3 linked regions of the Lepisosteus oculatus genome follow. The protein of the gene in region 2 interacts with the protein of the main gene of each other region in a pairwise test. Links are inferred from orthologs where the notes say so. Each region holds a gene or a part of one and is shown on either strand. Other genes may lie near its edges. The genes, in order: dnaja3a, atosb and kif20a.

Region 1 (10,900 bases), on a different chromosome or scaffold from region 2:
ACACACGGCTCAAGTAAGTGTGTCACGCAGCTCCGGCAAGGAGCCGAGCCTGTTTAACAGAACCCAGGTTAGAAGAAAACAAAAGCCGCGTTTGTTTGTGTCTGGGGAGCTCTTCCGGCTGTTGGGTTTCGTCAATTTGCTTTCAAAGGCAGCTTTTCCCCCCACACACAACACCTCATTAAAATAAATTAGGCATCACTGGCCATTTCGGAAACCCCCATAACCGCCCTCTATATGGTGGTCTGGATCTACAGCCCTCGTATCGGTACGATGGAGAAAAAAGGTCGCTTCTGTGAAAATGTGCACCGTCCTGGAGGCGATCAGACTCAGAATCTAGTGGTGGATGCTGGCGTGTATATATACTGTTTAAGTGAGGGTTCTCATGAAAGGTGTGGACCTGGCAATGCTGCGTGGGCGGACGTTAGAATAAGCGCCCGCAGGACACAGCCTGGCAGGAAGGCGCTCACCGGCAGTGGGTGCCAGGCGTGCGTTCGGAGGTGCTCACCATGCCAGTGCCGTTGCAGTAGTGGCAGTGCTGCAGCTTGGTGCCCGGCTCGTTGCCCTTGCCGTCACAGCGCTGGCACGAATCCTCAATGTTGACGGAGATCTCCTTGTTCACCCCCTTGGCCGCCTGGGTGAACGTCAGCTCCATGACGTACTGGGGGAGGAGAAACGGCAACTCAATTCGGCCCCCTCCCAAGATGTGATGATCCGAAGCCTCTGGCGGCGCGGAGTCGGAGACGCAGGGTCTCTCCTCCGCGAGGTACGCACCTCCTGGGGCTGCTCGAAGATGGAGTTGAAGTTCCCGAAGCTGGAGCCGGAGAACTCCCCGAAGATCTTGCGGAAGAGCTCCTCGGGGTCCATGCTGGTCCCGCCGCGCCAGTACTGCTGGCTGCCCGCTCCCGCCTGCCCTGGGTCGAACCCGGCTGCGCCGTAGGTGTCGTACTGCTTCCTCTTCACGTCGTCACTCAGCACCTGCGCGCAGACGGGGGGTCCGTGAGGAGGAGGAGGAGGAGCAGCGAGCTGGAGCCTTCCTCTCCCTCCTGCTCCTGGACTCCCGCGCAGCTGAGCTCTTTATCCAGCTCAACCGGCTTGCGGTCCTGCTGTTACCTTTCTAAGCCTTCTGCCTGCCTGGAGGCTGGCGGCTCACTTATTTCTTTATGGAGCGCGACAGTAAATCGGCTTCCTCCTGCCCGTGACCCTCGCGGGTTGAAAACGGCGAAGGAGGTCGAATTCGTCGCTACAACTTAGCAAGCGCAGCACGTCTATACTTCTCCAGGAACGGGAACCCAAAGTTTAGAAACCAGACCGAAGAGTCCCCTTTCCATGGAGATCCAGAAGCTTAAAATGTAGAAAGAAGCAACCTGCTCGAGCACAGAAAAAGTTGACGGGTGGTTAAACTGTTATGAAATGAATATGTAAAAATGGGCAACCCTGGCCCGAGCTTGCGTAGCTTTAAATCACTCAAAAATACACCCGAGAAGTGGAGACGTAGGTCTGTTTTCTCAAACTTACCTCATAAGCTTCCGCCAGCTGGGCAAACTTCTCCTTGGCCTGGGGGTCATCCTTGTTTGTGTCAGGATGGTACTTCTTAGCAAGCTGAGGGGAAAAGGCTTCAGTTTAGTCTCCAGGGGCCCTTTGCCCCCCTCTCGCGTTCCAGTCGCAGGGACAACAATTTACTTTATTTAAACAAACGCCTCAGAGTCTCTGCTGAACACCGACATCCAATGCCTGTCCCTGCCGAGTCAGTTCAGCACTGAAGGAACATTAAACACAGGACTTTCTTCTTACTGGTCTGTAGGCTTCGCCTTCTGTTTCCGGTCATGGCATAGAACAAGAACCTTTAATAAACAGTTTTATCGGTTTCTTATTTAAGAAATAACAAAGGGTACAGGCTTTCACAGAAATTCTACAGCAGCTCTCGTCATCTTTCCTGCGTCTGCAGTCTCTCGAGCTGTAGCCACGTCTCTCACCTGGTAATAAGCCTTTTTGATCTCCTTCTGCGTGGCCGACCGGGACACCCCCAGCACTTGGTAGTAGTCCTGCTTGTTTGACGCAGAGGCGCTGGTGTGGAAGGCGGGGGCAGGGATGACACTGGGGCTCCTCACTCCTGTATGGGCACGTGGAGACCCGGCTTAACAGTTGGGGTCTGAGCTCTGCCAGGGGGCACAGGCAGACTACAGCACCACAGCCCAGGGAGGCAGCAGGCCAGAACCTCCCGTGAGTACAGTCTCCCTGGGAACTCAGAACTAGAGTGCTGTACTTTTTAAAGAGCAAATCAACATATGACAGCACTCTCGGTATTAAACTGGAATATTCCTTTCCAAACCATACTCCATGTGCAGCTGCAAGACTGCATAATATTATTGCAAGACTGAAATAATAAAGGACATCGCTAGCTGCCTGAACCCCATGATGTCGAACTGCTTAAAGATAAACTGCTTGTTGATAAAGCCAGAGATCAACTGTCATCAGTGCAACTTTTGTAAGCAGACTCTCACTGGTTACTGCAAGGATCCACAGACGTCAGGCATTTAAAGCACCATACAATATAACAGAATCCAGAAAGTATTCGTACATCTCTCCAATCCACAAGAAGACGAGATCAATGCTGCTTTCTGAACTGCACTAAAGAAAGTTCCAAACGTTGCTTCTCTGACATCAGAGTGCACTGATTCTTGATATCTTTCCTGATCTCCAGTTAGGCTTAGAAAGAAAAGAAACGTAGCACTCCGTTACTGAGTGTACTGTATGTGTCAAGAGAAATCAGCCATGCAGGACTGTGTACCGATTTCATGATTGACTTTGTTGCATAAGCACTAATAAACTCACATTAGTGGGAGAGCTGAGCAGAAACAGGTCAAGGGGTGATCCCAACCCACCGATTGTGAAGAAAGAAAATTACAGAAAGGAACTGCAACGCCCCAGTTATAAAAATAACCTCTATATATTGAGGCGCCTTCACATCCTCATGCTGCGTGTGAAACATGGGCTTTCTGGCAAGATGAGAATAGGACATGGTGTCTTGTGGGTATTCTACTGGCCTGAGCCCCACTGGATGAGGTAGGGAGACCTAAGGCATTTGGAGGCCCAGGGACAGACACAAGCTCACAGGATCTATGAGGGGAAAAGGGCAAAATCCAATTGCAATGTATTGCAGAGAACGAATCCCAGATGTACAGCTTGTACTGTTTCCAGCTGTGGCTCCAGACACTATTACACTGTGACCTAACACAAGACCAAATGGTGATCAATTCTACTGAAAGCAACTTGTTAATTATGGCACTTCTGTTCACCGAAATCTCAGTACTCCACCTACTAAAAAGAAACTGCTAACTTTGTCAATATATTGCATATATAAGTCATGACTCTGCTGAATATCAGTTTATACAAACAGCAGGCTCTTGCAACAAATGAATCTGATAATCACAATGAAAAGTGTTTATTTTGGTAATACTTTCAAATACTGGCCAATCCAGTCTGGACTCCTTATGGATCTAACTGTTAATCAACATTTGGTACAAGAATAACCAGAGGAAGCAAGTAGCCTATGAGATATATTCAAAAAATATATCTTGTTTTAAAAGTTTAGCAATGTCAGCTGCTACCTGCTCAAAGTCTAGCAATGTCAGCTATTTGTCGTTTTTATCCCAATCACACCTAGAAGATTTGGAACTGAACACAAAGGGCGTTTCGGTAAGATGCGTCCATTTGACGCTTTCTCGAATACTGTCGCAACTAGTCTTCAAAGGTAAACAGATTGAAACCTCCATATGATCAACATTTACATATAGCTCAAGTCACCACGATAACTGTAATTATATCTTCCGCACTAGTCTTCAAAGACTTTTTCTGCAAAAAGGGGGTTTATGAATTACGAGCGACACATGCCTATGGGTGCCTTTTGTCACAGTTTGTTTCTGCGGTAATTTTTCCCTTCCTGCTCTTAAATCTCCACAGCCGGAAGCATGGCACACAAAGTAGCGACCATGCTGCCAGTCAAGGTCAGCTGCTGGAGCGGAGGAAGTTTCTGGTAGCCGAAGAGAGCACACCTGCGATCTAAGATCAACACGAAAAGTGCTGCTTCTTGCATGAAGTACGGACGTCAAACAGAAAATATATGCAATTTACGATCATGTCATCCAGAGGTACTTTGTGTCACGCCGTTACGTCTCTTTCGTAATGCCGGTAGAGACGTCAAGGGAAGCACGCGTGTAGTCTAGACATATCACACATTTCACTACAATATTGACAACGCAATGAAAGAAATACGCTAGCTGTTAATTACACAGCCCCCAAACCCTGCGCAACTGTAATGTACATTGCAAGAGTTCAGGATATAGGCATTCCGGCTCGTCTCATTACCTGCTAATGCTCTCAATGTCAGGACGTGGCCGGGCCCTCCGCCGCCCCCGGGACGATACTGCGATGCACTCAAGGCAGGAACGGGACGCAATGTCTCCGTATGGGCGCGGGCGAACCGCGAGCAGCCCCGACGCTGCCCGGCGGAGACGGCCACGAAGATCCAGCGTGAGGAGCACCGGACCGCAGGAGACGCCATCATCATGTACCAGGACTGACAGAGGCAGCGCAAAGCGCATGGCCGGGAAAAGCAACGGGCCGCGCATGCGCGGAGCTGGGCGAGCATGCGCAGTCCAAACGCAGGGGACATTCCCAGCGCGAACATGTCACATGATAGGGGTGAGGGTGGACTTCAGACTCTTCAAGAAAAATAAAAAAACGCTTCAATAATTATTTTAAAAACACGAACTGCCTCTGCTACATGGTTTTAAACTTTAACGTTAGATTCCATGTATTATTTATTTAATTTTAGAAGGTTGCTAGCTTTTTAAAATCAATGCACTTAAATGTTTTCTTTTCCCCTAAATCAGGTACGAGTTTCCCCAGCAGTGCAGAGACTCATCTCCGACAAATACGTCCAGAGGGGCCCAAAAACAAAAAGAAAACCTTCTCCCCAAGTCGTGTAGTAATATGCAAAATAAACTCCCAGTTGCGAGCTGTGACTGAGAGAGCCTTTAATCCCAAGGGGGCAATTTGTTCAGCATCAGTTGGGCGTCTGCTGGCCACCCGTTTTACACCTCTCAGATTTTTTAAAAGGAGGGTTACTTACAGTAATTAAACATAAACTTTGTTAAATTTAGCAGTATTGTAAAACATCACCACTCGTTTCAAATTGCGCACCATACATGCTAAGTAGCAAGAGAAGTCTGAAATCGCAAAATGCCCCCAGTACAATCTGAGGTTTGCAGCAATGTCACTAGCTCGAGGTGGGGGGTCAGACAAGACAGCATCAGCCGCTCCCGTTCGCATCGATCGCCGAGTGAATCGCTGCAAGAGACAATCGACCGGCACTGTTGTGCTGTCAGTGCAGCTGCTGAGCGTGTGTGCGCGTCTGCAGAGACGGGGAAGGAGTGGGACAGATAGCAAACGGGTCACTGGCGTTGAGCAGGACGGCGAAGGAGAAAGGAGAAGGATGAACCGCTTCAAAATCTCCAAATTCAAGAACACCACCCCAAAAATCCCCAAGAAAGACGTAAGTCGGCGAGGGTTGGGTTTTGCAGTGAATGGGGGGAGAGACGTGTGCTGGCATTTCAACTTCCTGAATACTGCTCTCGCAAAGCTGTCCCGGAGTCATCATTTTTCAAGCACTCGTTCAAATTCAGATTGAAATGTACGCTGGTTTTAGAAGAAGGCTTCCAGACGGCCGCTTGCACTGCAGGTTTTAATTAAAGGATGGGATTCGCCTCTTTTTATTTTTCCGTCTGTGCATGACAGTTTTTTTTTGCTCTAATTTGAATGAAGGTTTGGTAAAAACTAAAACCTGGGAGGTTGTAAACGCTCACGTTACACGGAAAAATAATTTCCGTCCAGACGTGATTTGTGTTTTAAATTGCATGTGCAAATAAGACTGCTCTTTAAGAAAACAGAACAACGCTTCATTTCTACCGCGCGGTATGTTTAATCGTTTCTAAAAGTTTAGATAGACTGAAATATTGTTTACAGCTGTGAATGATTTAATGCAAATATATGTAAAACACGATGCTCAATTACCTCGACTTTTTTTTTAAAAGTCATACCAGGATGTGTGTTAAGGTAGCGTGCATGAACAAGCTGTGCTCGGAGCGAACCTGAATTTATTAATTACTGTTCTAGCCTTGACAAGCACGATAGAAAGTCAAAATAATCGTAATTCGCCCATTCTGCCATTTGCTACCCTATCGCGCTCTTCCTGGTGTGTAAAATCTAATGAGTAGCTACTAGGTCAGCTCCGACGCAATCCAAATGTTTTGCATAATTTTCAAAGAAAGTGGTTGATTCATTGTTGATCTGTTTACGGGGAGGGAATTCATCTACAGATACGTCTGTGCAATAGAGTGTCGACTTCAACTTTTTGACGAGAGAGGTTATCTTCCTAGCGACCTTCACACGTGCTGGAATATAGGCTCTGCTGAAGGTGTGAAATGATCCCGGGCACTACTCTGTGTTCCGTGCGTGGGCACAGCGAGATCACAGGTAATTTCTAGCCCCGGGCAAAGGAAGTCACCAGTTTCGAGATATTCCTTGGGCGAGGTTTTGTTTTGGCCAGATTGACGGTGAGTGGTGGAATCTGAAGTCAGGAAGGTGTGGCTTTTCCCACGCACAACCGAGATACACTATATCGCTGTCGTTTCTGATTGAGTGGTTTGGAAGCTTTCAGAGGAAGCCTCACCTGGAGTGCATTGCAGGCACACGTGTTCCACTTTGTGCTTGTGAATTCCACCGCACGTTTCTACTCAAGAGTAAAACCGAGGTGCTCTTCTAAAGCTGATGAGTTTTAGATATGGGGAGTCCTCAGTCGTGGAAAACTTCTTCTTGAAGCATCCATCCATATATCAGGACAGGGTTATTAATTGGTATAATGTGCATATCGTTGTGTAATAGCGACCCCTGTGGTTGGGGGGAGGGAGCTGCAGGACTGAGCTGCATTCAAACGGGCTAAGAACTCATCCCCACTTATACTCGGCTTTCCTACTTTGCAAACGTAGTTCACCTTTGAATGTCTCAAACCTTTGAAGCTTATATTGTGGACCTATCCCATTATGATGTTTTAAACCAATGGTATGAATGAGACCCAATAATTTTGCATTGATAACGTGCTGGAGGATGCTGGACTTTTTAACCATGTCTCCATTCTTTCTGTAAATTGAGTTGAAGAGCTTATTGGCAAATATCTTCAGTTTTCATAGACAGCCCTGAGGCAGAGACTGAACAACGGTTGTTGATCTACCAAAACGTGTACGAAAGAAGTGGACACCTGAGGAAGGCTCCACAGTCGAAACACGGTGTCTCTTTTCTTTTCCTTTCAGCCTGGAATAAACCTCTCCCTGCTCCTCTGCCGCCTTCGCATGCTGCTGCAGCTGCTTACTAAAAGAAGTCACACACTTCTGCCTCTGGTTTTCATCACGCGCCCTGCTGTTAAAGTTTAATTGAATTAACTGTTTTGACGGGCCGTCAGGCGTGATGGTTTTCCAGTCTGTCCAACAGTGATGCTTTGTCTCCTGTCCAGTCTGCACGCAGAGGCTAAGATTCATATTCAGTGGAAGTGTCCCCTGCTTACCCACGGGGAACAAAAAAATCCTTCAGGGATTTCCTGTTCCAGGTGGGACTGACAGATAACATGTATTTCAGTGCTCTGCTGTCCGTGCTCTCTTCTGCTAAGAACCTCGGCGTCCGTCTTCAGCCCCGGCCTCTCCTACCCAACACGTTTCTCTGGGATGATCTTGTCTTCTTCCCTCTTGAGCAGCAGTCTCAAGACCCCTCCTTACTGGCTGTCCCACACAGCTGCTCACCCAGGCCCTGGTGCTGTGCTTTTGAAGATGGTTTCTCGTTTGAGGTTTTTTGCATTTGCAGGGTCTGTTAAATCCTACCACAAGAACACAAATAAGGTGGAGACTGTTTAGTTCACAGAATGGACTATTAGTAGCTGCGACAGCTATGTTCTGTTGTAGTTCTGTCTGTGTAAGGCTCAGAAAGTTGAGGAGTGACATTTCTTGGTATAGCCAAGGGTTCTAGTAATAGGGGTGACACATTTTTAAAATATCGTTTTGGGATGTGCTGTTGCCTTTGGTGTACATCCCTCAGAAAGGATGGGATTCCACTCTGTTTACAGAAAGAGCAGCACGGTTACTACAGTCAAATGCAATGAGAAAGGGGTTCAGCTCTGTCCTATTTAGAGATGATTAACAAGGCAATATATTGCTCCCCTTCAGTTTGCCCGTGCTATTATGACGCACAAGTGTGGGCTAACCTATCTTTTTGTATATTTTTGGAGTGGAATTTCAGACTTATTTCTTTGTGTTCCAGGACAGAGTCAGTCCCCGCCCTGTTGTTAGTAGGGCACAAATACATTGGCTGTATGTCGCCTTTACAGAGGCTGGTACAATAGTGTTGATTTGTGGATTACAGTGATTTGTTTGTAGAGGCTGTTGGCATTCAGTCCCATGTGTGGGAGCTTCTGTACTGCAGCCTCTGGCAAAGATGTAGATTTGTAATTGCGTTAAGAGCCTCTAGCAAGAAAGCTGCGCCTCAGAACAATGTGAGCACATCTCTTGCCTAGAAATTTAGCGGAGGAGTTAGTTTTCAACGTTTTCCAGCTGCCACTTGAGCTGGATTTCCGGGATGGTCCTGCTTTCCTTGTCCCCTGAGGCATGTGTAGCCGCAGCCAGTGTAGCTGTGCCGGTCCAGAACATCAGTGGCCTCCAATGACACCCCAAAACCAGGGAGATGCACAGACTCGCCAAAACCACCATCTTCATATCTGGTCCTGGAGACCTGCAGGTTTTTTTTAGGTAACTAAAAATGCTCCGTAACTAAAGGTTTGGAAACCCAGGTAAGTTGGATCAGATAATTCAATAACTGATTCGATAAACTCATTAAGAGCGCAGGTGGATTGAAAAGCAGCAGGGCCTGCAGGTGTCCAGGTTGAGGAGTGAGTGTCACAGGACTAATACAGTCCAGTCGTGAGGAGTGTCCACTGTGTGAGCAGAGGTCATCCCTGCAGCACAGGAAGCTAGAAATCCCCCTGTAGAGCCCAGATTCTTTTGAATAAATGTCCTCAACCACTGGAAACTTCCTGTTTCACCATGGGCTCCCTTGCAAGCTATAGCTCAGGGGTTCGCAGACCTGCTCTGGCAAGTGTGTCCAGTTAAACAATAATTAGCTCATGCAGTGTGGACTGTAAACCTAGCGACACGACGTCCCTCCGGGACCAGCACAGGGATTCCCTGCTCAGGATAAAAGCCTGGATGGAAGTTCGTATTCTGATTGAGCCACTGGGGAATCTTGGACACGTTTTTAAATGATTTGCAGCGCAGTGCCAGAGTTTCGGAGACTTCCACAGCATTGTGCACATCACTGTAGTACAGGGCGAGCTGCCAAGCTGAGTCCATTGCAGCCACTCTCCAGAATCCCTCTGTCTCCAGCCAGCTGTGGAGCAAATAGAAGCAAAGAGCTCACAGCCAAAAAGAAGTAAACTGGCCCTGGCAGCAAATGCAGTCTATCTTTGGGCTGTGGGCACTGTGCATTCCCCAGCAGGTTATTTCTTGTTTAACTGTAGAAAATGCTTTATAAATTCACTGTGAGACTTCCCGTTACTAGAACAACTGTGCTGTATTTTTAAGGCCTCCTTCTGTTTGGTCATACAAAGGCTTTACAGAAATGGAGGCTGTGCTGTGTCTGTTTCAGGATGCCTGTTGGCAGCTGTGACACAAATCAGTCACCTGCCGGTGATCGATAATAGCCCCACGACGCTAAGAGCCCCTCCGGTTGGCTTGGAGCCCTCAAGGCCCTGGCTCCTCAGCAGGCGCGCTCCGCTCGGGGCGCGCCGCAGGGCTCCACTTCCTCTATTGCCGCTGAGCCGAGGAGCGGCTGAGGCTGCGTTCGCTCTCTGCTTCCTGTCGAGGTGCGGCCGCCCCCCCCCTGTTTCCTGAGCGAGGCACAGGGCAGTATCCGCAGAGCTCTGAACCGAGCCAGGCGGGATCCCTCTGAGAGCTCAGCTGTCTTGTGCGGTTTCTGCCCTGCGGGTCTAGGGACACCAGTCGGGGAGAGGAGGAGGAGGAGGAGGGGAGGGGGGTAGGGGGGTCTTTTCCATTCTGCGGCAGGAAGCGGACACCCATTGCAGAGCGTTTTGATCCAGTTCGGTTTACACACCAGTCCCCCTTTTGCTATACTGATGTAGCAGCAACACATGCCCGTTTATCTTTAAAGATGTTATCTTCCTAGCAAAAGTTGTTTCCCTGTCTGCTCAGGTTTTATTTACATATCCGTTAATAGTCTGAAATGAGTAGCTGTCTGGTGTTGGCCAGTATCCAGGAGACCACAGCTTGTGACACCTTATGACTTCGAACTGCTCTGCAATGGTGGGGAGTTCTGCTTTCATCCCCGTTGCCTCATTGTTCATCAGTTGCTCAATGCAAACGTTCTGACATTCCTTTCTCTGGTTACCTCTTTGTCATCCATCACTTAATTCTTCCTTCCATCTTTTTTTTACTGTAAACATAACATTGCAGAATGAACACTAATTCTTTTTCTCTGTCTGACTATTACACTTGTAATGACACTTCATCAGCTCGCCAGGGGCTCAAAGTCGCTGCTTTCCCTGTCTCGCGCGTTGTCACTTTCTTTGACTACAGGCGTGTACCTCTGTCTCTATCTGTGTTGTACTCAGGCTTTCCGAGTCTAGCGCAAAAAGTCTGAATGCTAAGAACTCTCGAGCTGTGCTTACAGGGGTGGGACCATTATCAAGCAAAAAACTTAGAAGTGATTCGAGAGAAGGGAGCTTGTCTCTGACGGCGAATTGCGTAGTCGTTAAATCATGCCTGACAGTGATTTTCATCCTGTT
Region 2 (10,490 bases):
GTAGGCTTTGGAACAAAGCCCCCGTCAATGGGCTTTATTCTGGGTTCACGCTGCACGTTCTAGGATGAAAGAAAAGCAGCCCTCATCTGCCTCGTGAAATGGTACTGCGTGTACTGCAGTCTTTAGAGGCTGCCTTGAAAAGGAAAGAAAAATCTGGGTGCAGCCAAACATTCTGGAAAGAAACAAAATATCAGTGTGGACAACAGGAGTTCTAGAGACATAATGCTCAGTGTTCTCCTGAAGGGTAACTGAAAAGAACAGAGCCAAAAAGAAAACCGTGACAAAAGGTCACCTGTAGTACCCATGGTGTACCCACTTCACCATACTTTACAAATGACAAAGATCAGATTTGACTCATTTTATGGACATGCATTGTGTAACTGATATTACACAGCATCACCTAAGGAAATATTACTGAATTTAAACTTCTCAAGCCCACCCTTTATTATATAACCCCATGTCTATATTCTGGGTTTCAGAGCCTGCCATGTAGCATGATACTGCAAAGAGCAGCGTGCGCTGCTAAAGTCCCTCAATGATACACCTCCAAATCACCTTTGAGGGTCCTTTCAAACTCTGCATCCCATTAGCTCAATCTCTCTATTCTCTCCTACAGAAAATCCACAATATTAGAATTGCTGGAGTGCAGTCTTTGTGTGGGCTAGATGTCTTTTTATGTCTTTTTTTTTTTTTTACTTCCTAGGAGCGATGCGGTGGCTCTGTGGCTAAGGATCTGCGCCTGTGGCCGGAAGGTTGCCAGTTCGTATCCCGCGACCGGCAGAGGAATCCTACTCCGTTGAGCCCCTGAGCAAGGTCCTTAACCCCAGCTGCTCCAGGGGCACCTTATAAATGGCTGACCTGCGCTCTGACCCCAAGCTTCTCTCTGTCTGTGTGTTTCGTGGAGAACAAGTAGGGGTATGTGAAAAAGACAAATTCCTAATACAAGAAATTGTGTATGGCCAATAAAGTGATCTTATCTTATCTTACTCTTACTTTTTTATCAGTCTTGTGTCAGCCCCTGACCCTTTAAATTCAACCAATGTGATCTGGTAAAATAAAGAATTCAAAAACACACAAACTGCAGAGAGTTGAGCTGTAGCAAAGTCCTAAATTAAGGTCTTGCAAAAATGTATATTTTACAAGACAGCTCCAATCCACTGAGAGCAAATCACAAACCAGTGTTAGTCAATTATGCCCATATCCAAAGGATCCAGTTTTTTTAAAGTGCCTTGTATCTCGACATGGGATTTTGATTTGAAGCTTATCCAATGGGGAAATTCCTCAGCTGAATTGTGGTAACATGGAACATGAGGAACACAAACGCTTATTTAAATTTGGAAGGGTAGTCAAGTTACAAAGCTCATTTTGAACTAGGTGAAGAATGCATTGAGAAACAACTGTTTAATTTCTAGACTTTGTAAACCTTGTGGCAAACAGTCAACTGACATTATTTGTGGAAAGACATGTCAAAAAGACTGTAACCATATGGCAGGGTGAAAACGAGTTGTTCTCAATGACCTTGATTGCAGACAAGAGAGAATTCTCTCAATTTACAATTTACAATTTCAATTACAATTTCAATTGTATTTTTCAGTTACAATTTCACAGCACTGAGTGACTGGAGAGATTTAAACTACATTTAAAAAAAATGGCCCTTGATAATATTAGAAATGCCAAATATATAAATACAATAAGAGGCACAGGGGTTCATAATAATTGCTTACACTTAAATAGCATTTGTTCTGGACACTCCACTCAAAGTGCTTTAAAGGAATGGGGATCCCCTCCACCACCACCAATGTGCAGCCCCACCTGGATGATGCGACGGCAGCCATAGTGCGTCAGAACGCTCACCACACCTCAGCTACCAGTGGGGAGGAGAGCAGAGTAATAAAGCCAATTCATAGAGGGGGATTATTAGGAGGCCGTGACTGATAAAGGACAATGGGAAACTTGGCCACAGAGAGTCAGGACCTCGGTTTTACATCTCATCTGAAGGACGGTGCCTTTTTACAGTACAGTGTCCCCATCGCTATACCGGGGCATTAGGACCCACATAGACTGCAGGATGAGCGCCTCCTGCTGGCCCCACTAACACCTCTTCCAGCAGCAACCTTAGTTTTTCCCAGGAGGTCTCCCATCCAGGTACTGACCAGGCTCACACCTGCTGAGCTTCAGTGGGGCTGCCAGTTGTGAGTTGCAGGGTGATATGGCTGTTGGCTGTAATTAGTAAGAGCCTCGACTGAACAGTTCAGTTCTTTTCAACAGGGCCAACACTGGGCAGCTGCCCAGGTTCTCTCACCTTGGGCCGATCCCGGGCTGACGGCAGCAAGTGGTTCCAGAAGGGGGCGGCCTTGGCGTCCGTGCTCCGGCAGGACACGGTGACCCCGTGGGGCAGAGAGAGGCGGCTCCTCTTGGAGGTGGAGGGACCCTCGTCCTCGGAGCAGGACTCGCCCGTGTCGCTGGGAGCCAGCAGCTTCCTCTTGGCGGGGCAGCTGCTGGGGCCGGGGGAGGAGGAGGAGGAAGGGCCTGGCCGTCTGGAGCTGCAGGGCGTCTTCTCCGCCGAGGCCAGGCCGTTGGTGGAGTGTCCTTGCTCTGGGGGCAACAGCTCAACACTCACCTCTGAGCCTACATCTCTGCCCGGAGACACCGCTGTGGAAGCAGGAACCTGTGTCCAGTCTCTGCGATCACCATTGCTGAACGCCTGCTCCTCCAGCAAGGCTCCGTTGGCCTGTGCCACTGAGTTCCCACTCTTCCGCTGGGCGGGAACGCCATCTCCCGGCTCTCCTGCTGGGTCTAGCTCGCTTGTTGGCAGGCTGGCCGAGGCAGAAGCATCACACAGCCGTGCAGGGTCTTGAGTTCGGCCAGCAGACGAGTACGGGTTTTGGGGGGAGATCGAGTCCTCCCTGCTCTGGAGCAGCCGGTCCTGGTTGTGCTCTGAAAGGCGTCTGGCCATCGGGCTGGCGAGAGGCACAGGGAGAGAGCGCCTCCCCGCCGCCGGGCCCGACTCTCTGCCCGAGGCGCAGTCCTTGTGCTCGATCACACATGTGGCGGTGTGGGAGAAGTGCTGGCCCGAGCCGCACACCACTGCGTTTTCGTCTTGCAGCAACTCCAGGGGGGGCCCTAGCTCGGACTCTTGGCCGGGCAGGTCGGGGATGCCGGGGGAGTCAGGCCAGGTGTCCGCACCGTGCCCAGGCAAAAGCAATCGCTTGGGATCGGAGTATGGATCTGCCAGGCCCCTCTTTACAGCCTGCTTCTCAGCTTTCTGTTGGCCTCCGGTGTCGGAGAACCCCCCCAGCTGGGAGAAGATGGACAGCTGGTACACCTTTTGCAGTTTGATCTCGTTCTCCCCAAACGGGCGGAGAAGTCCTTGACCTGACCCCGAGTCCAGGCCTCCCCTCTGGGCATTCGGGAGGGGTAGGTCCCCCTCCTGGGCAGCCACCTCCACCGGAGCCTCCTTCCGTGCAATTTCCACGTGGATGTGTCTCATCGTTCCTTCAGTTTGATTGTGTCGTTCGTTTGTTTTATGTGCACCAGATCAAGTAAGAAATAGTATACGATAATCAAGTATTTAATGTGCAAAATGATTCAGGACTACTACTCCATTCCAGGAGTCAGCAGCGAGTCACTTCTCACAGTGGAGATACTTTGTTATGGGAGCATAGCAGCACAGTACCTGCAAAAGAGCAAAAAACGAATCTACACCGTGTGATCAGGAAGACAAGTTACACTCCTAAGTTATGTAATATTACATGAACCCTTGTGAAAATTAACCCTTCGGTCCATATAACCACCACCTTATCCTTGATTTAAATTTGTGTTTTTCTTTATAATGGCCCAGATTACCTAATAGTACTTGTTCTGTAGGTGTCCTTCATTCAGTTAATACATAAATCTTGAACAAATTAATATTACTGCCTGTATAGTACTGCACAAGCCTTTATCTGTGTCCAGTCGTATGATATGTCACAGCTTTGGTTATTTTATCTTTGGTAATATCCGTTAACATTTCTGTATTTTCTGGTTTGCTAAACATTAATACTACAGTATTTCTTGAAATTAATCCAGTATAGGCGAGTCTTCTTTTCGCCTCATCTGCCTGGTTTGTACTGCTAGCTGTAACGCCGACTGAGTTCCTGCACTCTTAGTGCGTGGCTACATAATACTGTAAATGCAAGAAATTCAAATGCGTAAACTGCTGTAATAAACTAATAAAACACCCTAATATGACTTGTTCTTGTTTAAAGCCAGTACAATAAGATATTGCTGGTTGATCTGAGGGCCCTGTGGATGTTATCGTAGGCTCCTCAGGGCGAAGTGTGGTCACTTTGTTCTCATACCGCTCCTCCTGTGCTCCCCTCCTTGCCTAGTTCGGTCTCTGCTGTGCCTCCTGCCACCTGGGACCGCCGTTCTGCCCCCTGCCACTACCCTCGGAGCCCGTCCATCCCCACAGCTGCCAGCGCGTCCTGGCTGAGCCAACAACACCATCCCAGGACAGGCTGGCGCAGGGCGGGGGGGGGGCGGGGGGGCAGCAGGATCAGCACAGCACCGGGACACACTCCCTGGAAGACAGAGCGGAGCACAGAGGGATCAGGACCGGCAGGACTGCAAGACTGACTGGAGGAGCAGGAGCACACGGCTACAGTCGCTGTACCAGTAGTGTAGAGATCCGCAGCCGGTAATCAAGCTCACGTACCGTGGGGTAGGCATCACTGAGGTCTGGGGGCGGTATAAAGGACAGGTAAGAAGCAGGTAGCTGGCACCCACATCCACTCCCTCCCCCTCAGAGTCAGCAGTGTCCTTCCAGATGCCTGGGCATGAGGCCGGTAGGCACCGTGTTCTGGCCTCATAATTAGGCACTCATTCCAGTGGAAACACCTGGGATCAAAACAACAAACAGGAGTGAAAACACGCATGGGGATGGAAGTTTCTCGGCAGACTTTTTTTTTTTAATAAGAAAACCCCCAAGAAGTGCCGTAGCAGAGAACACACGGGGTGTGACAAAGTTGAACAGCAATTCTGAAATGACTTGATTAACAGTTGGGTTAAAACCGTCAGGCAGCCTCCTTGTTCCTTATAACTACTTCGCACTGAGCCTTCGTGTATTCTCTGGAACCCTGCTTCTCTGCGTCTGCATTTGAGCTTTAGCCATTTGGTCACACTGCCTACCAATCCTACCTTCTAAACCTTCCTACTGTATGTTCCACTGCCTCGGCTTCATCCCCGAGGAAACATCCTCACCCTTTCCCTCTTCGTCAAAACACACACAAAGTCTGCGTGACGAACCTGACTAAAACCACGTGCCTTCAGGTATCTCATTTCTAAACGTTAAGGCCACACTCGCTTCCAGTTCTCAGCGCCCCACTCTGGCTCTGCTCTGTTTCCGTCCTCCATTAATTCAGTCCGCAAAGGTTGTTGCGTGCCTTGGGCTCCTCGGTCTCCAGACAGCACGCCTGCCTCATGTGGCAGTTACTCTCTCTGGTTGGACAGGGACCAGGGGAGGGGGGGGTAGAGTCAGCCCCCGCGACAACAGGCCTTTTGTGTTCTTCCAACTCAGAAACAAGACATGGTCTGCCTGCCAAAACGAGGACAGGTCGACTTCCACAATAGTAACCCATCCACCTGCAGTTTTCTCCCCAGTCCTGGAGCCCGGATCCCCTTAACTGGCATGAAAACACCTGGAATTATCTTTCCACGGCGAGTTGTGAGGCAACATCCTGGAATTTGATCCGAGAGGGTTTCATCGAGTCTCTTAAACTGACTTCTTGCTGCTACATTTCTGAGATAAGAGCCTGTGTCAGGATGCTAAAGACCCCAACAGAAAGACATACCGGCTTTCCACTACATATTAGTCTCCATCATGGAATAATAAAGGGTCTCGTTTTTGTCCCTGTGTTTTCCTCCATGTTTTATACCAAGTGTGTGAAGAGGCCATGTACAAATTTGCTGTGGCGGGTGTGAGCAAGGAGAGAGAAGTCACAATTGCAATGAAAAAGGAGATGGAAATCCAACACTACAGCCGAAAACACAAGAAAAGAAAAAAATGATTAATCAATGCAAAATGTGAATATTTAACCAAAGTTTGTATATCCAAGTTTGTATTTACAAGAGCTGTGATAATATCACCAGCGCTCCTTTCTAGTAGGATAAAGAAAAAACAAACAAACAAACAAACAAAAGCACAGATAGGGTGGATTCCACTATGCAGAAAATCAGCAGTTCAGCAAAAACCCTGGCTTTGAAATTCAGTTTGAGAAACCAATTTCACCGTCTCCGTACAGCAGATTACAGCAATTGCCTGCTATCCATCACAGTCAAGTATAGCATCCTTAAATAGGAATTTAAGAGGCACAAATTCATTTGCGCTCAAGGGCATCCATGTGTGGTTAAGCCAAAAGATGTACCAAATGAAACGGGAAAATACAGAAGTTCACAGCATAATGAGCTATACTGCGTTAAGCTGCATCCTGTTTCTTCCTTATGAGAAAACAACAAGTTGTGATGCATCACATAAATCTTTCAGCGTTCTAGTTTAAGAGTTAAAGTAAGCTTGCATGTTTCTTTTTGATTTTGCAATTTTCTGTTTTTTTCTCCCCTTTTACAAGAAAAAATGCTGGTAAACTAAATGCAATGTAGATATTATATGAATTTGTAACAATATTTCTTTGAGCACATGATTATTTTTTTTGCTTTATTTACCATAAAACTAGGACACAATTTCTACTGCACTCCAGTCTCTTAATATGACACACACAGTAAAAACCCTCTGCCACAATAGTTCACATGATTTAACTAGTATATTTAAGTTAGACCAAAGCTTGTTAAGGAGGATATTGTCCTTAAGATCACGGAAAAAGGAATCTAAATACTAATTTAGATTTCTAAATTAGTATGCTATTGTCTATGTGAAATAAATGTACATTGACGTCTGAAAGCATCTAATTGGATTGAAAAGGTTGTAATGAAAGTGACAGACTGAAGCCAATGCTGTTTTTATTACTGTATGTGCACTGCACAGTGTTTTCAAATGACAGCTACAGGGAAAGTGCAAGAAATTCTGCATGGTACTGCAGTTCTGTCAATGTGCTCCAGGCATGTTAACAATTGCAAATGCTGTTAGCAACAGCAGTTTATTGATGTTATGACTAACGAGCACAATTCAGAAAATTTGCCTACAAGTCAGCAAGGGCATGTCTTCATGTTAAAGAAAAACCATGCATCTTCCTTTATGGATATGCACGCTGTCATAATACATTCACAGCTGTCAAATAAAACGGATTGGAAAGAATGTGTTTGTGTCTTTGTGTGTGTGAATATAGGCATGCACACACAGAGGGTTCTGATTCACAGTGCCCCCCAGACTACACCCCTCTGATATAATTGCAGATGAAGACTCCTAATCATGCACAAAGCACATCTTCCCAGAGGAATACTCAGGGATCACAGCATCAAAAAGCTCTGTCTTTAGAGAGAAGAAGGGTGAACGTGGACTCCCTCCCCCTAATAGTGATGATTTTCTAATAGCAGCCCTATACACAGAACCCACCTGAGCAGAGGGCTCTAGTTGTCAGGGCTGCCAGACACAGGCGGCTACACACTGGCAGTGTCTGTGAGGACAGGGGCCTGTTTCTCTCTGCTCTCTCTGCACTACAGACACGGATCCTCCACCACAGATCTGGTCCTTGCCCACAGCTACAGCTGGGAGCAGACTGAGTGGCTCTGACATGCCTAGCCAGCACCAGTAGCCCCTTTTGAGTGAGTGGTGGGGTGAGGAAGGACCCATGGGGGTTGAACTTCAAGACTAGGATATAGGATATTTTTAGCCACAGCTGGGAGACTTGCAAGGCGGCTGGCTGAGAGGTACAAGAGGATACACACTGATTTACCTTTCAATAAGACTGAGCGATTATTTTAAGATGAGACATCCCCCTTCAATACTCAAATTAGCAATCACTGCCTCTTTCCTAGATCCCAACGTAGGAAGTCTTAAGCTCTTCTCCCAGAGTAATGAATTTGAACATTATTGCCTTTATTACAGCTCTGACTACTGTAAACCACATACCTCTCTGTTCCTTTGAATGGAGTGTCAGGACGTCTCTTTTACCAGTTGGCAAAAAGAAATGTGCAGCCGTATCGTAAACGCGCCGGTGAACTGCGGGAACTGAAATTCGAGCTCTGGAATTAGTGATCAGCGCTGCCTGTAAACTGTGCCCGACAGACTGAGAAGGCAAAACACTCAGCAGTGGTGATGTGAAGTGAAATGCAGCTCACTTTGTGGTGTATTTATAGTGGAGTTTAAGGGTTTTTAACTGGGGAAACTACAGGCCAAAGGGATGTCATGTGACCAAAAATAAACACCTAAATCACAATCTAATTTACTCAGGCACTAGGTCATAGGCCTGCATAGGCCTTTAAACTGAAATACTGGGAAGGCCTTACACCTTACTGGGTATACAAGACAGAACACAAGAGATTACAGAGTGAAATATGATGCTTTCAGAATTATACTCAACTTAAGTGCTACACGCAATTAAACTATTACAAAATTAAAAATTCATTTTCAAGGCAGGGCTCCGTTCCCTTTAGCACCTGTATAGTGGGCTGTATTATCTCAATTTTGGAAAGAATGCACCAATGATAAAGATTTATCTCCAATTTGCATGAAGGGCTAAAGTGCAATCGGTTACAATGGATTCCCCCCACTGACTTATACTAGGAAGGAATGAACTGAGGCAGGACCTGTGAGGTGAGCTGATGAATTGCTGCTTGAAAGGCTGGCCATATTTATCAGGCAAAACAAGGATCATTATCAGAAAAGTAGACCAACCACATACAGAACCCTGATTAATTTACTGTATCTATACAGATAACACATCTGTCTCAGCACAGACTGCTTTCATATACTGTATATAACTCCTTGGACCTTTTCCACTATCCACAGTTCCCATAAAGCACTTGCATTCTGGCCTTTTGAGTTGGGTTGCTTCTGCGCATCTGGATAGATTAATTATGGCTGGCTTAAAAACATGCACAGATGTAACCTAGTGAGTTTGCATAAAAAATACAGTACCATCTGAGAAAAGGGGGCTAACCATTATTTTCCATACTCAGGAAATAACACCCCCCACATCCTCTTAATTTGGTTGCTGTCATTCTGTAAAGCACTTTGAGAGGCCACCTTTAAAAGGCACTATATAAAATAAAGTTCATTATTATTTCCTATTTCAAGTATCTTGCCTGTCTACCCAAGACGCTTAGCTGAAAACCTCCATGATCATACTGCCATGCAGACCGAGTCTCCACATGACGTGATTGTGTCCTTAATGTATAAGACTGTCTGAATGTATAATGTATAACTTATATTATTCTGTAGAACCCTGGAGTGCAGGCTTCCAGTGTTCTTCAGTATGCATCTCAGCCTTGGCTATAGGTCATTTCACAATGCCCCGAAAAAAAACAAATACAGTACTTCTGTAAAGTGAATGTTTACACAATACTAACACTAAATACTAGAAGCATGAAATTAGGGTAGAGGACAAAAGGCCTCCTAGGATATACCAAACTATAGCATCCATTCTTGTGCTACGTTATTGTCTACATGTTTTGGCCTTCTTGAAATCGCAAGGGTGATTTCAGAAGCAAGGGTGTCTTTGTTTTGGATGGTGTCGCAAGGAGAGTTCCATGGAATTGCTGGGAAACAGCTCAAGGGAGATGGGCTGCTGGAACGCCAAATGCAATTACTTCTGTTACCGAGCCATAAATAGGTATACAGGGAGAGACCTCAGCGTACTACAAGCAGTAACAGTACACTGTCCTCTGGTAGCGACTTGGCACAGGGGAACTGTATTACTACAGCGCTAGCTTCTCAACAAAGTCTTACGATTCCTGGTGCAGATTTTATGGAAGGCCTGTGTTTATTTGAAGAGGTTTTGCTGCTGCTGCTGTCTGAAGAGAAGCGTGTGTCAAGCGTTTTATTAGTTAAAAAAGGCTCGGACTGAGAACGTTTCACACAGGCCTTCTCCCCGGCCTGCACCATCTTCCAGCTCTGGAAACATCAGCCGAGGCTCCCGGCTGGTCCTCATCAACCAGACTGCAGTTTTAAAACGTCTGACCTTCCCCTTGCAGTCTGACGGCCCCCAGCCTCCACTAGGGAATGTGAACTTGCTGGCTTGTGGTATTCACCATCTATCTACCATCAGCGCTCCACATGCTGAACTAGAATATGCTACCAAATCCTTTGGGTGGTCCACAGCCAAATCCTGACCATAGCCCTGGCTGGGTCTTCAGACAAGTCTTTTTTTTTTTTAATAATCACATCGTCCAGACTCCTCCTCTTATTCACCTTGAGATCTTCTGCAACAACAAAAAAACATTCTTCCCCCACAAATGCCATGTGAATGGTTACATAAGAGAAAGGCTCATCCTGTTTAAAGCTTCCTGCTGGAATGGAGGCTGAGCCTTTTCTGCAGAGGCTGGCTGAGCAGTGCAGG
Region 3 (10,924 bases), on a different chromosome or scaffold from region 2:
TGGACGGTGTAGGTCTTGCCGGAGTTGGTGACCCCGTAGGTGTAGACCAGCCAGCTCTCGCCCCTCAGCACGTCCCTCACCGTCTCCCTCATCGTGCGCTCGAAGAACTCCTTCTGGCTCGTGTCGGGACGGCAGATCTGCACCGTGCAGAGCAGGAGGCCGTCACTGCCCGCCCCTGTCCCTCTGCTCCCCACCCCCAGCGTCCCTGCGCCTCACCTGCCTGAAGGTGAACCTGTGCACGGCCCGCCCCTGCCCCTCTCCCCCCCCCCATGCCCAGCGTCCCTGCGCCTCACCTGTGTGAAGGTGAACCTGTGCACGGCCTGGCCCTGCCCCCCCCACGCCCAGCGTCCCTGCGCCTCACCTGTGTGAAGGTGAACCTGTGCACGGCCTGGCCCTGCCCCCCCCACGCCCAGCGTCCCTGCGCCTCACCTGTGTGAAGGTGAACCTGTGCACGGCCTGGCCCTGCGCCCCCCACGCCCAGCGTCCCCGCGCCTCACCTGCGTGAAGGTGAACCTGTGCACGGCCTGCCCCCCCCCCCCGGCGTCCCTGCGCCTCACCTGTGTGAAGGTGAACCTGTGCACGGCCTGGCCCACGCCCCGCTCCGTGTTCCTCATGGCGGCGGAGTCCTGGGGGGCCCGCAGGAGCAGGGTGTCCTCGCCCTCCACGCTGACGCAGCACTGGGGAGGGGAAGAGGGTTCGCTCCCGTTTCACACACACACACACAGAGAGAGCAGAAACCCCAGAACCCTGAGCCCCGAACCCCCGGCCGGCCGGCGGCTGACCTGGTCTTCCCCTCGCTCCTGCTCCGCTTCTGTCAGCGGCCGGATCCGCAGGAACACCTTCACCTTCTCCACGCCGGCCTCCGCGCTCAGCTGGGGACCAGGAAGAGGACCCGGTGTTAATACGCACCTCTGTGTGTGTGTGTGTGTGTGTGTGTGTGTGTGTGTGTGTGTGTGTGTGTGTTAATTTAGTCGATGGAAATCTAGACGAAAAAGTTCCCTGACAACCTGTTTTTTGGTTTTAGTTAACGAAGTTGAGAGGCTCATGACAATAGCCCGCAATGACGATGACTAAATCGCTTTGCATTTTTGAGTGCAATTGACCAAAACTCATAACAGCAACGAAGTTCGTCCGTTTGCACTTTTACTTTCCGTCTGGCACATGGCTGGCTAACACTGGTGTCAGGATTAGAGAGAGGGAGAGAAAGAGCGCGTGAGATGAGGAGCTGGGAGCATGCCCAGGAGCAAGAGAGTGGGGGGAGAGTGTGTGTGCGTGCCGCAAGCATGCCGGAGAGAGTGCACGCACAGTAGAGCGAGTGCAGGTGAGAGGGGAAAGCAAAACCGCATACACCACGAGTGTGCGAGAGAGCGCACGAGAGCAGGAGAGCGTGCCCAGGAGCAAGAGAGAGGGAGAGTTCACACGAGAGCAGGAGAGCGTGCTGTGAGTGTGCGAGAGAGCACGCCCAGGTGCAAGAGAGAGGGAGAGTTCACACGAGAGCGTGCTGTGAGTGTGCGAGAGAGCACGCCCAGGTGCAAGAGAGAAGGAGAGCTCACACGAGAGCAGGAGAGCGTGCTGTGAGTGTGCGAGAGAGCAGGCCCAGGAGGAAGAGAGAGGGAGAGCTCACACGAGAGCAGGAGAGCGTGCTGTGAGTGTGCGAGAGAGCACGCCCAGGAGCAAGAGAGAGGGAGAGTTCACACAAGAGCAGGAGAGCATGCTGTGAGTGTGCGAGAGAGCACGCCCAGGAGCAAGAGAGAGGGAGAGTTCACATGAGAGCAGGAGAGCGTGCTGTGAGTGTGCGAGAGAGCACGCCCAGGAGCAAGAGAGAGGGAGAGTTCACACGAGAGCAGGAGAGCGTGCTGTGAGTGTGCGAGAGAGCAGGCCCAGGTGCAAGAGAGAGGGAGAGCTCACACGAGAGCAGGAGCGTGCTGTGAGTGTGCGAGAGAGCACGCCCAGGAGCAAGAGAGAGGGAGAGTTCACACGAGAGCAGGAGCGTGCTGTGAGTGTGCGAGAGAGCACGCCCAGGAGCAAGAGAGAGGGAGAGTTCACACGAGAGCAGGAGAGTGTGCTGTGAGTGTGCGAGAGAGCACGCCCAGGAGCAAGAGAGAGGGAGAGTTCACACGAGAGCAAGAGAGCGTGATGCGGGTGTGCGAGAGAGTGAGAGTTCACACTAGAGCAAGAGAGCGTGATGTGAGTGTGCGAGAGAGGGAGAGTTCACACGAGAGCAGGAGAGCTTGCACACGCTGCGAGGGGTTTGATATCCCAGCACGGCTCCGCCTGCGCTGCCCCGTCGCCTGTCTCACCGGCGTGGGGGCGTCCGCTCCAGGGGAGATGACTGACAGCTCGGCGAGGCGATGACCCCCTCTCTGCCCGCCGCCGGTCTCGGCCGCCGTCGACTCGAACACCGCAGCCTCCTCCTCGTCCGACAGCAGGCCGCGCGGTGAGGCCCCATACGTCGCCATGACAACCACTGCGAAAGCAGCAGACAGCCTCAGGTTAGAGGGGTGACACCCCACCATCTCCCAGACCCACTACACCTGCAGCCACTGCCCACTGAAGGGACGCACACCCACACCCACTCACACCCCCCTCGGTCCCTGAGCCCCCTACACCTGCAGCCACTGCCCACTGAACCGACACACACCCACACCCACTCACACCCCCCTCGGTCCCTGAGCCCCCTACACCTGCAGCCACTGCCCACTGAACGGACACACACTGGTCCATATACCCACAAACAGCAGGGAGACTGAAGCTTTTTTCAAATAAATGAAAATCAGCAGTATAACAACAGAGCAGACAGCCAGTGATGATTTTACAATAAAGCTAATCACTCCAGGCTTTACAGTGCTGTCAGTCACACTCCCAGTGCACAGCAGTACAAGTCTCACGCTAACAAGTTTCGCTCCAACAAATAGGAATAATAGCAAAGCATCAGTCCAGAAAAATAGCTCTAAACCACTGGCTCAAACTCCGAGCTTCTATTGTTTACTGGGTCCTGTTTGTGTTCTAGCAGTAGCACATAAGGAGGCGAGAGACCCGATTCTCCGTAGGCAATTAGCAGAACTCTTCCAAATAGTCGCTCAGGCACAGAAAGGGCAAAAAACGGAGGCAAGTCAATCTGATCTACGCTTCAGATCAATGTTAACACCTACTACAACTACACCAGACAATCGTCTCTGCGAGACTCTCAGAAAAGGTGGGTCTTGTTCAGCCGGGCAGAGCTACAACAGTAACAGACAGCATCCAGCATGGGATACATGGGGTCTCGGTAGAGGCATAATCCCACTGCTGGCAGCAGGTATTCATGGATGTGTTGGGATTGGGAACTGGTCAATGGGCAGGACACTCAGGATGGCGGATGTAATCAGTGGAGCACCACAGGGATCTGTACCGAGAACCCTGCTCTTCAGAACTCACAAGTATTTGCCCAGTCCCGAATGCTGTCTAAATCTTAAGAATCCTCCGAGTTCTCGAGTTTAATTCCTTGTTGTTACAGTCCGTCTATCAGCTTTTCAAAACCTTAGGAAAACTCCCGTGTCCAATTTAGGTTAATTAGGTTAATGAATGGACTACAGAGGGCGCAAGGCCCTGCAGGGGCCAAGTTAGAGGCTTGGGACAGTGTCACAGGGGTCAGGTGCAGGTAGGTGGTTAGAGAAGTCTGGAAGGAGCCAGCAGCCTGCAGGGCACAGGGCTGCCTCACTGAACACAGACCAGCTTCAGAGCTGCCTCCCTCTCTCTCAGCAGTGGAGGTAAATTCCACATGGGGCCAGTCCACTAAATTCCACAGGTAACTGCTAATCCCAGCGAGAGAGCTGGACAAGGGGGAAAAACAGAAACTCCAAGGGGACAAGCTCGTCCCACAAGGCTCTCCCACACCCCCTCTACACAAAGAGAGCCGTAGAACAAGCTGCCCAGCCAGTCAGGACAGGAGGCACGTCTGTACACAAAGAGTGGTGGGAGTGTGGTACAAGCTGTCCCGCTACGTTGTGGAAGCCGATACCCTGTTTTTTTTTTTTTACAAGAAACAGCTGATCACTGATCCCGGGATCAATTAGCTACTATCGATCAAAGCGGTCAGACGGGCCCTCCTCTCGCTTGTTAGCCCTGGTTCAGATCAAGTCTTAGAGCGCGGTGTGGAGTGAAAAACCGCATCGGACCCGGGACTCTCCGGGTCCAGGAATTAACAGCAGTGTTGGTATTGCGGTGCTGCAGTTTGTTCCTAATTTGCAAGCCTGTGCGTGAAGCTCACTTTCACGAGGATAAACAAGTCAGGCGAGCACGCCCCCCCACCCACCCCCGGAGAAAGGAAACCCGCACAGATACAGGGATAGTCTGTGGAGAACCCGGCCGTTTCAAACCAGTTCCGCGGGTGGACAACCCACTCAGACCGCGCACGACCCTCTCTCTGCGGACCAGCAGGCTGGGGCAATTTCAATGCCGAGAAGCGAAGAACATGCACACGGGGGGTCAGGCGCACGCGTCCTTTTAAAAAGGGTTTTTGCCCGCCTCGCAGTCTGATACTCTCGATTTTATTCTCTAACCTCTTCAATACAGGGCTTTCTTTTGTCAGTTCACAAAAGTCATGCAATAAAAACTGTAAGAACACAATATACCATCAAATTTAGAAATAAGAGGAACACTGGGGTGTTTATAGCAACTGTATCTTACCAGGTCGGAAGTCTGTTTACGGTAGAAAGAGCGCACGCAGTCGGGGGGTCCACAGATTAATTTACACGACCACACTGTCCGCAGTGATTTTAAGGTTTCGCTCTCTTGGTCTTTTTTTTTATTTACTGAAGTTTATTGGCGTGACCGACGAATTACTGTTGTAATACTTCATACAGTAACAGCAATCGGGTGTAGGACATTTATGTCTTCGAGCGGTGTGTCCTCAATCTGAAAATTACCCACATTCACTATCGAGAGAAAACACGCAACCTCATTTAGTTCAAAGACAAAACAAAACACTAACCTTCTTTAAATACAAACGCAGGTTTTTCCGTAAAGTTCTGACGTCTTCTGACTGAGTGTCCTCTCTAGAAGTTTAAATAGAGGCACATTAAAAGTCCTATAAACCCTTTCCTCTGTCGACTAAACTTAAATTAACAACCGCGCTGAACTAAGAACTCTGGGACCAGCGTTCAGCCCCTCAGCAAACCGATTCAAACGTCGCGCCCCGGAGGGACAGCCAATCACCTTCCGAGTGCCGCCCGCAGCCGCCCAATGGCAGCGCTCGGAATGCGAGGGCCGCCGCTCCAGCCAATCGGACGGCACGCTGAACCCTCGCCCAAGGCGCAGGCGGAGAAAGGGCGCGGCGGCGTGCCTCTGTGAAGGAGAAATAGAGTGCGACCAATGGAAACTGGCTCCATGTTGGCTCAAAAAAAGAAGCACCGTGGCGAGCTGAGCCAACATGGCGATCTACCGCAGCTGGTGGGTGCTCGTTTAAACCTTTAGTTGTTCCTTTGCATCGCTACAGAGTAGCCTCTAAGAGCTACGTATTCATGTTCACATCGGCTTTATTCCCACATGAGTAGATATTGTACTTATCTACTTGAATAAACCTGCTGTGTGAATTTAGTCGAGAGAAGCCAGCGTTTCTCGCCCCCTTACAGATATGTTATTCTTCCTGTGCTAATAGATTATCTAAACAGCATGCCATCTTTAGACAGCCGTGCAAATTCGTTTAGTGTGTGGGCAAGCACCTCTTTCCCTCGGGGACTGAACAATAAATGTGAACAGTATTCACTTCGGCGGTACTAAAGAAGCATTGATGTGAACCCACATCGATTTGATAAACATCTGGACCGCCTGTCCCACACAAACGGCGCATTGTTGGCAGCTGAGGAGCCGCAGGGCACAGCGGGTCACGTGGGTCGGCCGGTCGGGAGTTTGCACTTCCCAGCATCGCCGTCAGGAGTCGCTGTTGTCGCCCCCCCTCTGGGCCGCGTCTTGCCTTGATGGCGCTGATCTGCGGGCGAAGTCTGTCCCAGCCCGTTGTGTTAGGAAAGGCGCCTTTGATTGTGGGATACTAGGGGTTGCAAATAGACGCCTGTTTAAAAGTGTAAACTCAGATTAACATAGGCAGAGGTATCCAAATATAGGACACAACTTAGAAGTATGTAGTATTATAGAAACAAATATAGGTAGTAATGTAAAATATATAATCGTGTAGACACGCGAACACGGATGATACTGTAGAAAGTTGAATGCAGTTGATTTTGCAGAATTACAGTATATAACACCCCAGAAATGCAAATATAGGTGATACTGCAGTGCAGAAAAAGTCTTTGGAGGATGCGGGCATCGATCCCGCTACCTCTCGCATGCTAAGCGAGCGCTCTACCATTTGAGCTAATCCCCCTTTCTTATTGGGCCGGCCCTGAAGTCTGTATATAAACTAATGTAAACAGTACAGTTTACAGAAACAAAGACTTTAGAAAGTACAATATTCCCACCTTATTTGTATTTCTATAGATAAAGTGTATTTTCCATGAGCGATATATAAATTGGTCATACTGTACATGTCCCTCCAAAGCCAAAGACTTCATTTCCCAGGCAGCATCGGGGCTAGAAAAGCACTTTGACCTGGAAGTGCAAGTGCTCAGTGGCGGTGTGGGAGGGGCAAGGAGTCAAGATGGCGGGCGGCATAGGGAGTAGGTGTTGTTTATATTTTAATTGTGTCTTTGTACCTTTATCAGTGTTTTGGAGTTGTTTCTGTGTTTTTGTGTGTCTGTTCTGCGCGATGAACGGATGTTTCTCCTTACTCCTTATGTAAGGTTACCGTGACTTTCCCCAGAAATAAGTGGTATTCTGGTAACGGACGGTTTTTAACGTAACATTAGGAGTAACGTAACGCAGACACAAAGACTGTAGTTCAGGATTTGGCCCGGGGTGTACGAGAGCGTCTCAGTTTTCGGTCTGTGTGTCATACAGAGTCTGAACCTGAAAGAAAGTTAAGAGAAACCACGCTGGTAGCTGTACTAACGCTTGATAGGGGCTGGCTGTTACTTCCTACGACACCGCTAGGCGTGCGCGTATCTCTTGTTTATTACTGAACACTTCCCACGTTTTTAGTACCAGTTAGTACTAACTATCCATGATCGGTAGCCGGGTAAATATCCTTTAGAAATATTCTCGCCATGGCCGGTTGAGTATCTTTTAGACCAGTGGTCCCCAGTCCTGTAGAGAATATTCCTGGAGCCCGAACGCTTGCTGCCTTTTATTCCAGCCAGACCTCAGGTACACGATCCAACTCTTAACTGACTGAACCAGGTTTGACTCGGGCTGTTTGTTCTCAGCAGGCGGCATGGTGGCACAGTTGTTATCATTTCCTCAGCGTCAGTGACTCCTTTTGTGATTAAAGAGCCAGGTTTCAGTGTCTGGTACAGTGAGAGGGAGACTGTCATTTTGCTCACACATACAGTTTATCTGTTTTAATATGACCTTTCTCTCTCTCCCTCCTCTCCTATAATTTCTCTGCCCTGTCCCCTGTCTCCTCCTCTCCTGTCTTCTCTCTTCTCTGCCCCCTGTCCTTTCCCTCCTCTCCTGTCTCCTCTCTGCTCTGTCCCCTGTCCGCTCCCTCCTCTCCTGTTTACTCTCTGCCCTGTCCCCTGTCCTCTCCCTCCTCTCCTGTCTTCTCTCTGCCCTGTCCCCTGTCCTCTCCCTCCTCTCCTGTCTTCTCTCTGCCCTGTGCTCTCCCTCCTCTCCTGTCTTCTCTCTGCCCTGTGCTCTCCCTCCTCTCCTGTCTTCTCTCTGCCCTGTCCCCTGTCCTCTCCCTCCTCTCCTGTGTCCTCTCTGCCCTGTCCCCTGTCCTCTCCCTCCTCTCCTGTGTCCTCTCTGCTCTGTCCCCTGTCCTCTCCCTCCTCTCCTATCTTCTCTCTGCCCTGTCCCCTGTCCTCTCCTATCTTCTCTCTGCCCTGTCCCCTGTCTTCTCCCCGACTCTCTCCAGAGCACAAGCTGATGTCGCTGGGCCCCACAGAGCCCTGGTCTGTGAGGGAGAAGCTGTGTTTGGCCTCGTCTGTGATGAGGAGTGGAGACCAGAACTGGTAAGAGGGGCTCTTTCTTCCTGTCTCTCTGTCTGGCGCTCATGGCTGCCAGACAGTTTCCCTCCAGAACTGTCCCCTCTTGCTCCTCTCCCTTCTCTCTCCTTTGCCTGTGTCCCCGTCTCTCTCCTCTCATTCTCTCAATTTCCAGCTGTCCCCCCTCTCCTCTCCGTCCGTCTCCATGTCTCTCCTCATCCTCTCTCTCTCCCAGCCTATCAGATTCAAAGAGCTTCACTGGCGTGACCGATCAGCCGCAGTGTTCACAAGGCAGGTACAGTTAACTCCACAGTAACAGATACATCTCCCTCTGCCAGGGTGTCGGTCAGCAGAGCCATCAAGCCCTTTGCAGAAGCAGGCCGCCCTCCGGACTGGTTCTCTCAGAAGGTAGGAGACACAGTGATGCTCGTTCTCCTGCAGTGTTTCCTCGACCTCTTCAGCGCCGTGACGGTAGTGTGTTTTTCCTCCTTCCTGTCTGTCTCTCTCAGCACTGTGCCTCCCAGTACTCGGAGCTGCTGGAGACCACAGAGACGCCCAAGTGAGTGCAGCTCCCCATCCCTTGTTCTTGTGTTGTGTTGTGTCTCGGGTGTGAGCAGGTGGGGGTGGGGGAGAGAGAGTGCGGTGTTGTGTTGTCTGGTGTGTGAGAAGGGTGGGGTGAGGGAGAGAGAGTGTGTTGTTGTGTTGTGTCTCGGGTGTGAGCAGGGTGGGGTGAGGGAGAGAGAGTGCCTTGTTGTTGTGTTGTGTCTCGGGTGTGAGCAGGGTGGGGTGAGGGAGAGAGAGTGCGGTGTTGTGTTGTGTCTCGGGGGAGGTGGTGGGGAGACAGTGCAGGAGTGTTGTGTAATGTTGTGTCTCTCTCAGGCGGAAGAGGGGAGAGAAGGGTGAGGTGGTGGAGACTGTGGAGGACGTGATTGTGCGCAGACTGACAGCAGAGAGGATAGATGAGCTCAAGAGGCTGATCAAAGACACTCAGGAACTGCACAGGTACTATTTTGTCCTGTTACTCTATCCTGTGTCCTACAGTATTGTCCTGGTAATCTGAACTATTGTGTAATGTTACTCTACACTGTTTTCTACAGTATTGTCCTGGTAGCCTGAACTGTTGTGTAATATTACTCTACACTGTTTTCTACAGTATTGTCCTGGTAGCCTGTGCTGTTGTGTACTGTTACTCTAACCTGTGTCCCTGTATGCTGTGCTGTGTTGTGACCTGATGGTCCTCACTGTAGTCCACTCTTACTGCGTCTCTCCCTGCAGGAAGCTGAAGAAGGAGGCAGAACTAATCCAGGCTGGACATCTGGACAACAAGTTGGAGGAGCTGTGGGGGGAGATCGTCCTGTGAGTCTGTCCATCTCCCAGTGTCTGTGAAAGGCCGCCTGTCCTTCTGTGTACTTGCCTGGGTCTCGTTGCCTGTGCGTCTGGCTCAGGAGATGTCTGTGATTTGATTGTGGTTGTGGCGCGGTCGGCAGGCGGTGGCGGCGTCACTGATGCGGTTACTGTTCCCGCCTCCAGGAAGAAGAAACAGGACGAGGAAGAGGCGGAGCTGAAGCGGAAGGCCACAGATGCAGCCTATCAGGGTACAGTACAGGGACACGCCCACTGTCGGTCCTGCTACAGCAGGGGACCCCAGTCCTGGTCCTGCTGGAGATGTAGAGCTCATCCCTGCTGGTTTCCGTTCCAGCCCAGCGCTCAGTTGCTCAGCTGAACCGTTAGTCGACTTAGGATCAAATTAAACCGCTTGAACGTGTTCAACCCTTAAACATGCTGGAGAGTTCATTTTCTCTTTTGCATTTCATAAGTAAGATCAAACCCCAAACTTCCGAGTATATATACAGTGGTGTGAAAAAGTGTTTGTCCCCTTCCTGATTTCTTTTTTTTTTGCATGTTTGTCACACTGAAATGTTTCAGATCATCAAACAAATTGAAATATTAGACAAAGATAACACAAGTAAACACAAAATGCAGTTTTTAAATGAAGGTTATTATTATTAAGGGGAAAAAAAAATCCAAACCTACATGGCCCTGTGTGAAAAAGTGAAGGGGGAAAACACTGCATATATAAAAAAAAGCCTTTCCAGCGTTCTGCTCGAGTGTCTGGTTGGTTCAGTGAAGCTTCAGGAAAGTGATTAAGCCGGGCGGGAATGAGAGCCAGCAGGAACGTGGGCCAGCAGGACCGGGATTGGGATGGCCGGCCTGCCAGCCAGCACCTGCCCCAACTGTCCTCAGATCTCTGCCACCGTGGAATAGGAGGCGCTCGGTCCTCCCCTCCCTGACTCCTGTCTCCACCTCTGTCTGTGTCTGCAGCCCGGCAGGCAGTGAAGAACACCCCTAAGCGCGTCCCCAGCGTGACGGTTCGCTCTCCGCTGGGCTCCAGCTCCCCAGGCCTGGACTTTCCCATGGCCGACCCCCCCCAGCCGGTCCCCGAGGAGGCCAGCGCCAGCGTGAGTCTGTCCCCCGCCCCCTTCCCCCTGTCTCTCTCGCCTGCGCCCCCTCTCTCTTTCCCTGTTTCCCCTCCTCTTCTTGCATTCTGTCTCCGGATATGATTACAACTGCTGATCCTGCCTCCCTGCCCCTCCCCACAGACCCCTGGGGCGCCGGTCTTCATGCCCCTGACAGAGTCAGCAGGCCCCGGGCCCCTGGAGCCCAGCCTGGGGCCTCTCCTAGATGACTCCCCGCAGAAGAAGGTCCTGGGGCAGAAGGTCACCCCGCCCCCCTCGCCCCTGCTCTCCGAGCTGCTGAAGAAAGGCAGCCTGTTGCCAACCAGCCCCAGACTGGTGAGTGGTGTGGGGAGGTGGGATAGGGGCAGTCGTGATGCTTTCAGGATCCCGAATAATCCCAAATCCGGGCTCCGTCCAAACATTTCTGTTCCTAACGAGTAGAGAAACACG

What was found.
Region 1: the proteins of atosb (region 2) and dnaja3a interact in binary tests that used the Homo sapiens proteins (3 or more experiments, as listed by UniProt). The link is inferred for Lepisosteus oculatus from reciprocal best matches to the Homo sapiens genes ATOSB and DNAJA3.
Region 3: the proteins of atosb (region 2) and kif20a interact in binary tests that used the Homo sapiens proteins (3 or more experiments, as listed by UniProt). The two-hybrid records come from large-scale screens. The link is inferred for Lepisosteus oculatus from reciprocal best matches to the Homo sapiens genes ATOSB and KIF20A.

The regions. Positions count from the first base shown.
Region 1 is NC_090714.1:3,738,162-3,749,061, forward strand, and holds the start of dnaja3a (dnaJ heat shock protein family (Hsp40) member A3a), read right to left. Parts: upstream 4,675-10,900; 5' UTR 4,673-4,674; coding exon 4,366-4,672; intron 2,111-4,365; coding exon 1,974-2,110; intron 1,600-1,973; coding exon 1,516-1,599; intron 976-1,515; coding exon 772-975; intron 659-771; coding exon 506-658; intron 1-505. Other genes in the region: coro7 (coronin-7), read left to right, coding at 5,273-5,554. UniProt on the Homo sapiens protein: Modulates apoptotic signal transduction or effector structures within the mitochondrial matrix. Affect cytochrome C release from the mitochondria and caspase 3 activation, but not caspase 8 activation.
Region 2 is NC_090698.1:67,317,476-67,327,965, forward strand, and holds the start of atosb (atos homolog protein B), read right to left. Parts: upstream 4,558-10,490; 5' UTR 4,341-4,557; intron 3,677-4,340; 5' UTR 3,491-3,676; coding exon 2,303-3,490; intron 1-2,302. UniProt on the Homo sapiens protein: Transcription regulator that may syncronize transcriptional and translational programs.
Region 3 is NC_090706.1:29,596,207-29,607,130, forward strand, and holds the start of kif20a (kinesin-like protein KIF20A), read right to left. Parts: upstream 5,141-10,924; 5' UTR 4,973-5,140; intron 4,951-4,972; exon of another isoform or gene 4,669-4,950; intron 2,468-4,668; 5' UTR 2,460-2,467; coding exon 2,301-2,459; intron 873-2,300; coding exon 783-872; intron 678-782; coding exon 558-677; intron 138-557; coding exon 1-137. Other genes in the region: bromodomain-containing protein 8, read left to right, coding at 6,635-6,653, 7,949-8,045, 8,357-8,426, 8,528-8,577, 8,898-9,020, 9,294-9,374, 9,549-9,613, 10,341-10,477 and 1 more. UniProt on the Homo sapiens protein: Mitotic kinesin required for chromosome passenger complex (CPC)-mediated cytokinesis. Following phosphorylation by PLK1, involved in recruitment of PLK1 to the central spindle. Interacts with guanosine triphosphate (GTP)-bound forms of RAB6A and RAB6B.